Tribolium castaneum: one gene and its partner. The protein of the gene in region 1 interacts with the protein of each later gene in a pairwise test. Links are inferred from orthologs where the notes say so. Each region holds a gene or a part of one and is shown on either strand. Other genes may lie near its edges.

Evidence for each region.
Region 2: the proteins of RhoGAP100F (region 1) and Nrx-1 interact in a two-hybrid assay, tested with the Drosophila melanogaster proteins (2 studies listed by BioGRID). The link is inferred for Tribolium castaneum from reciprocal best matches to the Drosophila melanogaster genes RhoGAP100F and Nrx-1.

What each region holds. Positions count from the first base shown.
Region 1 is NC_087395.1:21,942,510-21,946,276, reverse strand, and holds part of RhoGAP100F (rho GTPase-activating protein 100F), read left to right. Parts: intron 1-1,595; coding exon 1,596-2,558; 3' UTR 2,559-3,767. UniProt on the Drosophila melanogaster protein: GTPase activator for the Rho-type GTPases by converting them to an inactive GDP-bound state. Promotes the anchoring of Liprin-alpha clusters at synapses. Recruits and keeps Nrx-1 levels high in active zones in the presynapse opposite the postsynaptic region.
Region 2 is NC_087396.1:20,895,238-20,899,073, forward strand, and holds part of Nrx-1 (neurexin 1), read right to left. Parts: intron 502-3,836; coding exon 201-501; intron 1-200. UniProt on the Drosophila melanogaster protein: Neuronal cell adhesion protein involved in synapse formation, development of synaptic active zones, synaptic regulation and visual function. Plays a role in cell adhesion between the pre- and the postsynaptic cell.

The DNA of each region.
Region 1 (3,767 bases):
TTTTTAAGCAAGTATACGTGTAACATCTAGTTAAGCAAAAAATTATAAACTAAGATCAATTTCCCTCCTCGGAAAAAATACACCTCTGAGGGCAGACAGATAAATTCCCAGTAAACATACCTATTATTCGAGGTATCACGAGAAGAGTCTAACTATTTAAAAAAAATTGGGGAGTTGTTTGTGCCCCAAAAGAGGTAGCTGCTACTATTTTTAAAACTTCATCAGTAAAATAAAAATTTAAATTTTTTCTTCTAGGACCACTTTAAATATCCAAAGAATATTCAAAGTAGCCCCGTTTAAAAAAAACAATCTGTATTTTTGAGAACACTGCGAATACGATTAAAGATACAACAAAAGATGTAGAATATCAGATTTTTTGGTACCTGAAGCGCTGAAGATACATCTTTAATTTTTTTAAGAAATTTAATTCTCTACAACTGTTTCTTTAACTAATTTAACTGTATTCATAGCATTTTGACAAATTTAATATTGGTAAAAGTTTACATAAAATATAAATACATATGTAAGAAACGTTAGTACTTAAAAAAAAATTACTCAATCGTTCCTTTTAGATGTAAAAAAAATCTAAATTTACAGTAATCAGTCTAAGACAAAGCAGGAAGTGGTTTCATGAGAAGAAAAAATATTGTTTTAGACCGGGAAACATGTAATAACATTTTAAAAGACATTTTCTCCATAGTACTGCAAGAATCCCAATACAAATCCTTTTTTACTCAATTACTGCTTATTTATTTTCCAGTAACGTAAAACATAACTTAAGATGAAATCGAGGATGAAATGAAATTAAATTCAATAATGTACATTTTTATAAATGTGTATCTACTTAGTATCAGTGCTTTATTTAATTCAAAAAAATCCTTAAATAAAAAATGGTGTTCTTCAAACATTACTTACCATTAACAATGAGTGTTAGAGAGAAGATGAAATACTTTTGGCTCTGTCGAGGATTCTTAGAAATAACGTTACATTTGTTTTAATTTAAAATTGTCAATCGTTAATTAGTAAAACTCTTAAAACAAATGTGAGGAAATCTCGCCTTCCGGTAGCAGCGACTGGGATTTCATTATCATTATTTATAATCAATTAATCACATATTGTATTTTTTTTTATTTCTTCCATTAAGACGAGAAAATGTTATCGGCCAAAAAGCAGCCGCTAGAATTGATAGCCTTAAGAGAAAACCCGATTTATATAATTTTGAATTTTTGCTCCAAATTGGCGACTTCTTCTTTAATGTTGGCTTTCACGACTTGCAAAATTTGTATTTTGCTGCGGTAGTCACGTAATTCAAAACGACGCAAAGAAAAAACTCTATTGCCGTCAAATCTGGCAATCTGCTGGGCCAGTTCATCGCCAAAATAAAAAATCATACGGAAATTGGTCAAATAAAAGGAATAATGATTATTTATTTAGAAGTTCAACAACGCAAAATTACACTTTGCGACGAATGTGTTAAATAACAAATAACCGATTCAGATTTTCAATCGAACCAGCTTTATAATGTCAATAACGATGGTGAAAAATTGCCTCCTTGGCAGCTTTGGCGCCTCCCGAAAATAATTCCTCCGTTCCAGGGCCAATCATCAGCAAGCAAAGGTCCTTACCGTCCGCTCTCTCCACGAGTCGGCCCACCAGCAGCGGCGGCCGGCCTCAAGCCTCGTCAGGTGATAGTCTCTTCTCCAGGTTCGCCAAGCAGCAGTAGCGATTCGCAATCGGGTTCCGACTCCGTTAAACACTGCCTGCCCAGCCGTGTAAGTTCGCCGGCCATCCGCGCCTCTCCATCCACCCAGACGATGATCCTGCGGACCTCCCCCTCGGTCACCATCAGCTCCCCCGGGCTCCGCAACTCCCCCTCGACCACCTCCGTCAACTCCCCCGGCCCCCGCAACTCCCCCTCCGTCTCCAGTCTGAGCCGCGCCTCGCCCTCCATCCTGGGCGGGAGCGTGTCCCGCTCCAGCTCGCCCGCCATGCAGGCCTCCTCGGCGGGGCTCAACGTGACCCTGGGCACCACCACCCCCAGCTTCTCCACCCTGAGCAGCACCAGCACCACTGCGAGCTCCATGTTCGGGGTGAACTTCGCCCCCACGACCTACGCGAGCACCAACCCCTTCCTGACGGGGGCGTACTTGAATTACACGCCGGGGGAGATGAGCTTCGGGGATAAGTTCAATACTATTGGGGGGATGAAGGAGACCAAGTCGTTTTTCGACAGTTATTCGACGAGCAAGTCGAGCTTTGAGGCTTCGGAGTCGATCTTCGCAAGTGACACCAAATACAACACCATTGGGAGTAAATATCCAGAGAAGACGAGTTATTTGAGCACCACGTATAGTTCCGAGTTGAAGTATAGTCCAGGGAAGGAGGCCAAGTCGGGGAGCAGTTACGATACGAGTCCGAATGTGACTCAGAGCAACTCGTCGGCGTTGCTGAGCATTGAGGACACGCCGACTCCAACCAGCAGTATTGAGACTGAGGATAGCAATACTAGAGAGGTTGGTGAAAAGGATGTGGAAGGTGACGGTGAACAAAGCGACTGAATCCATAGCGCGGTTTGGGCACAAAACACTTTTTATTGGTGGCAGCACTGTATAAAAGACAAAATTCTTAGGGTAATCACCATCGATGTAATTTACCATTTGATCACATGATGACTATAAATACGAAACAAAAATCGGTTAGGATACAATATATGTACTTGCTTATTAGAATCAAATTAAATAGGATCATTGTTAACTAATATTTAAATTATATACGATATACATATTTTAGTTGGTAGATTAAATAAATATTTATTGAATAGAGAGGTATCTAAGTGGAAAAATCTAGACAAATGGTTGTTGCGTGTTGCACAATTTTATCGGTTTATTATTTCAAAGTGTGATATAATCACCCCTTGTTTTCGAGATTGATGTTAATTGAGTTGATTTTTTACTTGAATAAGTGACAACAAACTTGCAAAGCAGGCACAATTCTAAATCCAGCGAAAATTTACAACAGACTTTCAAACTGCGAAAGGTATCAACAACGTACGGCTTTTCAAGGAAAAATTCTGACTTTTGCTTCGCAAGACTGTCGAATTATAAATAAAAGTTCACAGAAAACCTAAATTTATGGTGTCAACAAACGATACTTTTAACTTTTCCGCTTTATTTTTTTAATATACGGGGACATTAAAATTAATCTGTTCATTTGCAAGTATTTATTTAAGTAATACACAAAGTAGAGAAAATTTTTGTCGCAGCAAAAATATTGCATACGTTTCTTACAAAAATTTTAATACTATAGTAATTAGTCAAAAATAAATCGAGATAATAAATAAATAGCAAGTCTATTTTACCATTAAATCTAACATAAATCATATTCCACTTAAGACGTAAGTTAAAACAAAATTTTAATTAATAAAAAACCAACAAGAGTTGGTTATTGACGGTTATTAACAACTAAGAAATAAATATTACTACCTTTCTTCCAAAATATGTATCCGATTTTCACTTATTTTGGAACAAAGGTAGTAATAAACAATTAAAAAAAACGGAATCATCTTAAAAATTAAAAAAAAATTAATACTGAAATATTGAACACCCTAAATTTCTGTGCTCACATTTTGTTTAACCTTTGAAAATAACAATCTTAAATATTTTGTGATATAATTACAATCGGATGCTACTGTTATTAACTTATTAGTTTAATGCTGAATATAGTGTTTATCCAAAGTGAGTTTAAAGTATATAACGCATAAAGTTCAT
Region 2 (3,836 bases), on another chromosome or scaffold:
TTAGAAATGCAGGTACTCTATCTATATTTAAATCAAAAATCAAAGATTATGTGAAGATAAATGTGCAATAAGTGTGACTTTTATCCACTAATGTAATTTTTATTTTTTTAACTATTGTAACTAGGTTTCCTATTTAATTAATAAATTCTTCTTCTTCTTCTTCACAATTACGAGCATTACTGGGAACTTGGCAAACTTACCAATGGTCTTGAAATCGGTGTGGAAGCCGTCGACGGTGATTCGCGCGTCTCGGGCGGTCCGCCGGAAGGTGACTTCGTGCCAGGAGCCGTCGTCGATCCTCCGTCTGGAGCCGCGCTGCTTCGAGTGGCCCGAACCCAGGTCCAGGTGCACGTAAATGTGCCCGTTGTAGATTTCAATCGCGAATAAGTCCACTCGAGGAGGACGAACTCCGCCGTTGAACAGGATCAAGCCGTTCGCCTCGTTTGTGCGGAATTTGAACGAGATGTTGCCCGATTTTTTAGCGTTCCAAGGTGGCAATATCTAAGGAATCACAGTGAAGAAGAAAACTTTGGTTTTTAAAACACACTCATTTGGCACAAGGGTTGTAATAAGTATAGGAGATGAGTCTGCTAAAATTCTAATTTCTCTGTATCATCCTATCGTAATTCTCTGTTAATTTCTTTGTTTATTCAACTAGAAATATTTACTTTTGTTACTTTGTTAATTCATTTCTATCTATAAGTGCATATTTATGGTGCTATTCACTAACTTTTGTTACTATCCTCGTATTACTGTAAAAATTACAGCTGTTATTTAAATTCGTATTCTGCAATCTCTGTTACCTCCTGTTAACAACATTTGTAACATTCTCTGTTAAATAACAGCGACCAAAATTTCACCATAAACTAACTATGACAGTAACAGATCGTTAATTTTTGCAATGGTTTACCAAATTAACAAGAAATTGTATTAAAAATGTGAAAAGTGGATAAAACTGAAAACTTTAGAAGCATGTATACTACTCTATACACTTACATTTAAAAAAAATGTAGAAAAGGAATGTGGAATAATCCATAATATTGCAAAGATAATCTCTGGCAAAAACTTAAAAATTGCCAGAAACGCAAAATTTCTATAAATGAAATATTTAGCACTGTGTACTCTTTATTTTTGTTACATTATTTCGTGAATATAGAAGAAGATTTTTTAATTTGTGTTATTTATTTCAAATTACGTTTTTTGTCTTTCAATAATAATTGTCTCTCTTCCAAATTGAGTTTCTTTTTTTAGTTTTGCGTTAAGTTTTTTCCAGCACAGAATTGAAGAATTTGGATTCAGTTTAATTACCGACTCCGACATGAAATTCCATGATAGTTTTTAATATGTAATTAATATTTAATAATATTTAAGACAAAAATTGTTTTAAAAAAATGTGTTTTTTTTAATAAACAAGGATATTCTTGGCCCTTAACTGTACTTGTTTTTTACATTCGTCTTCTTTTCATTTCACATTTCAGTGAACTTTTTGCGAAACCAAGCAAGAATAAAATATTTAATCTGTTAAGCGGTTTAACAAAATATTCTCATTAGTTTTTCTAAAAACTAAATACATATTGCCAAATCAGCGAATGAACCTTACAATTGTATCTCCCTGTATATTTTTCATGTAGGCAGATACTTATAAAAAGCCTTAAATGACAAAATCTCAACAAAAATCACTGAATCGGACAAACTTCTTTGACTCAAACACAGCAACAATTAGTTAAAAAAATAATGTAAAAAATTTAAGGAAGTTATTACCTAATTGCTACTTTACAGATGTTTATTAAGTTATTGGTCCATACTGTTACCTCTTTAAATATTTTATTTTTTTAGTCCCTGTATATCTTTTTACTTTTTTTAATACCCTGTATGTCACAGTTTGTTGGTGACGACATATTCTTACACAATTATTGTTATGTCTTTTCATAACATGACATGTCATAAATAAAATCAGAATTTTACGATTTAAAAGTATAAAATTCGTTGGCTAGTACATGTTAATCGAGGTTAATGTGTGCTATTAGAATAGATTTCCACTGAGAAAAAGGGGTTAAATTTAGTAGTGGAATAAATTCACAGAAACGATTATTTTTAACTATTCATTAGATTTAACCAAAGTTGATAAAAGCGGCACTAAATTTTTAATATTTAGACTAATTTACAAGCACATTGTTTCGATTTTTTTTTTACTTTAGTAGGTCTGTTTAAGAAAATGATGTGATTCTGTATACGAGTATAATTATTTGACATCTTGTACCGATTTTAATTTTAATTTATTTTTATTGTCTTGCTACAAACTCTAGCAGAAGATGAAAAATAGTAAGTGTATTTTTTATCTCAAATGAGATGTTGAAAAAATGTACTCAAAAAAATCATCAATTTAATAATTTCTTGCATTAATTGAACAAAACGTTAACAATTCTTTATAAAACAAGCGAAATGAAAATAATTTTAATGTAATTTTTTATTATTGATGTGAAACATCATAAAGTGGTGCTCTAGTCACAAAAAATAATATTAATTTGGTGATATTTTGCTTCAATTTTGGTGGAGGCGCCGGGAAAAGTATCATTTGCTTTATTATATGCTAAGTTTTCCGTTTTCTAGTAATTTGCAACTATTAATAAAACAGAGCAAAACACGTAGAACTATTCTAAAAATGTTGCTATGCAGTGTCTTATTAAAGTCGCTAGTTTTTTTTTTCAATTTTTTATTAAGTCTAGCTATCAGTTTAAAAACACTTTTTGTAATTTTTTGCATCTTTTTAACCAAATAACCAATAGTAGACTATGGAGTACTGTCATTTCTGTCAAATCTTTAAATTAACTTTTTACTCATTATTTTGCATTTTTTGGTGCAAAATTGTGTCAAATGTAGAATTTGTCTTGATTTGTGTTTTATATTTCCGTAATTTTTCCTTTTTTCCATTATTTTGTCGGATCTGTCATTTTAACAGCACTACATTACATAGGTGACTTGATGAACACATTGTAATTTTATGTGATATCATCAATGATATCTCGTCTACGTTTTATTTTTAATCTATTTTTATGTGTTTTACTACAAATTGTAGTAAAAGTACATTTTGTTATTTTTTCTATTTATTTATCACCATTATTTATCGCCATATGAGAAAAATATAATTTTTGTATTTTTTATATCTTATTTCACAAACCAATAATTACTTTATTTCTTTCATAATAATCATTATTTATCTCACTCTTATATCCTTTCTTCCTGACTATTCAAATCTCCAGGTGATTCTTGCTGGACAAATCAGCTGTTAATTTGTACTTAACTGTATTTAAGAGGTAAGAAAAAAATTTGTAAATGGTATCGCTAGATGCCGGTCTTTTTGTAAGGCAGAAAACCAGTAAGGACGATTTTTTTAACAACCAACCCTAAGAGGGTTAAATTGGTTGTTACAGCTTGTAAGAAAATGCGTTATTTTTAAGTTATTTCCATGCAAATTAGAATTTGGGGTTTCGTTTAAAAATGAAGAAGCGCGTGTCTCAGAATTTTTAAAATATCACCCCTAAGAGGGTTAAAGAAGGGATGACAGTTTGTATAAAAATCTGTCATTGTTGTCGAAATTTCACCTCCAGGAGGGTTAAATATAGGATGAAATTTTGTTTGCAATTCTGTCATGTTTTAATAAATCCCAGATTATTATAAAACAGGCAACAGTAACTCGGGTGCGTATTGGGTCACGGTTTGATAGTTCATAATTAAATTATGTGTTCCAATTTCGATAACATACTGTAACAGGCAAAAACTGCATTGATTGTATTAATAATCCGAATTTCAATGGAATAATAGCGGTAAGATTTGCG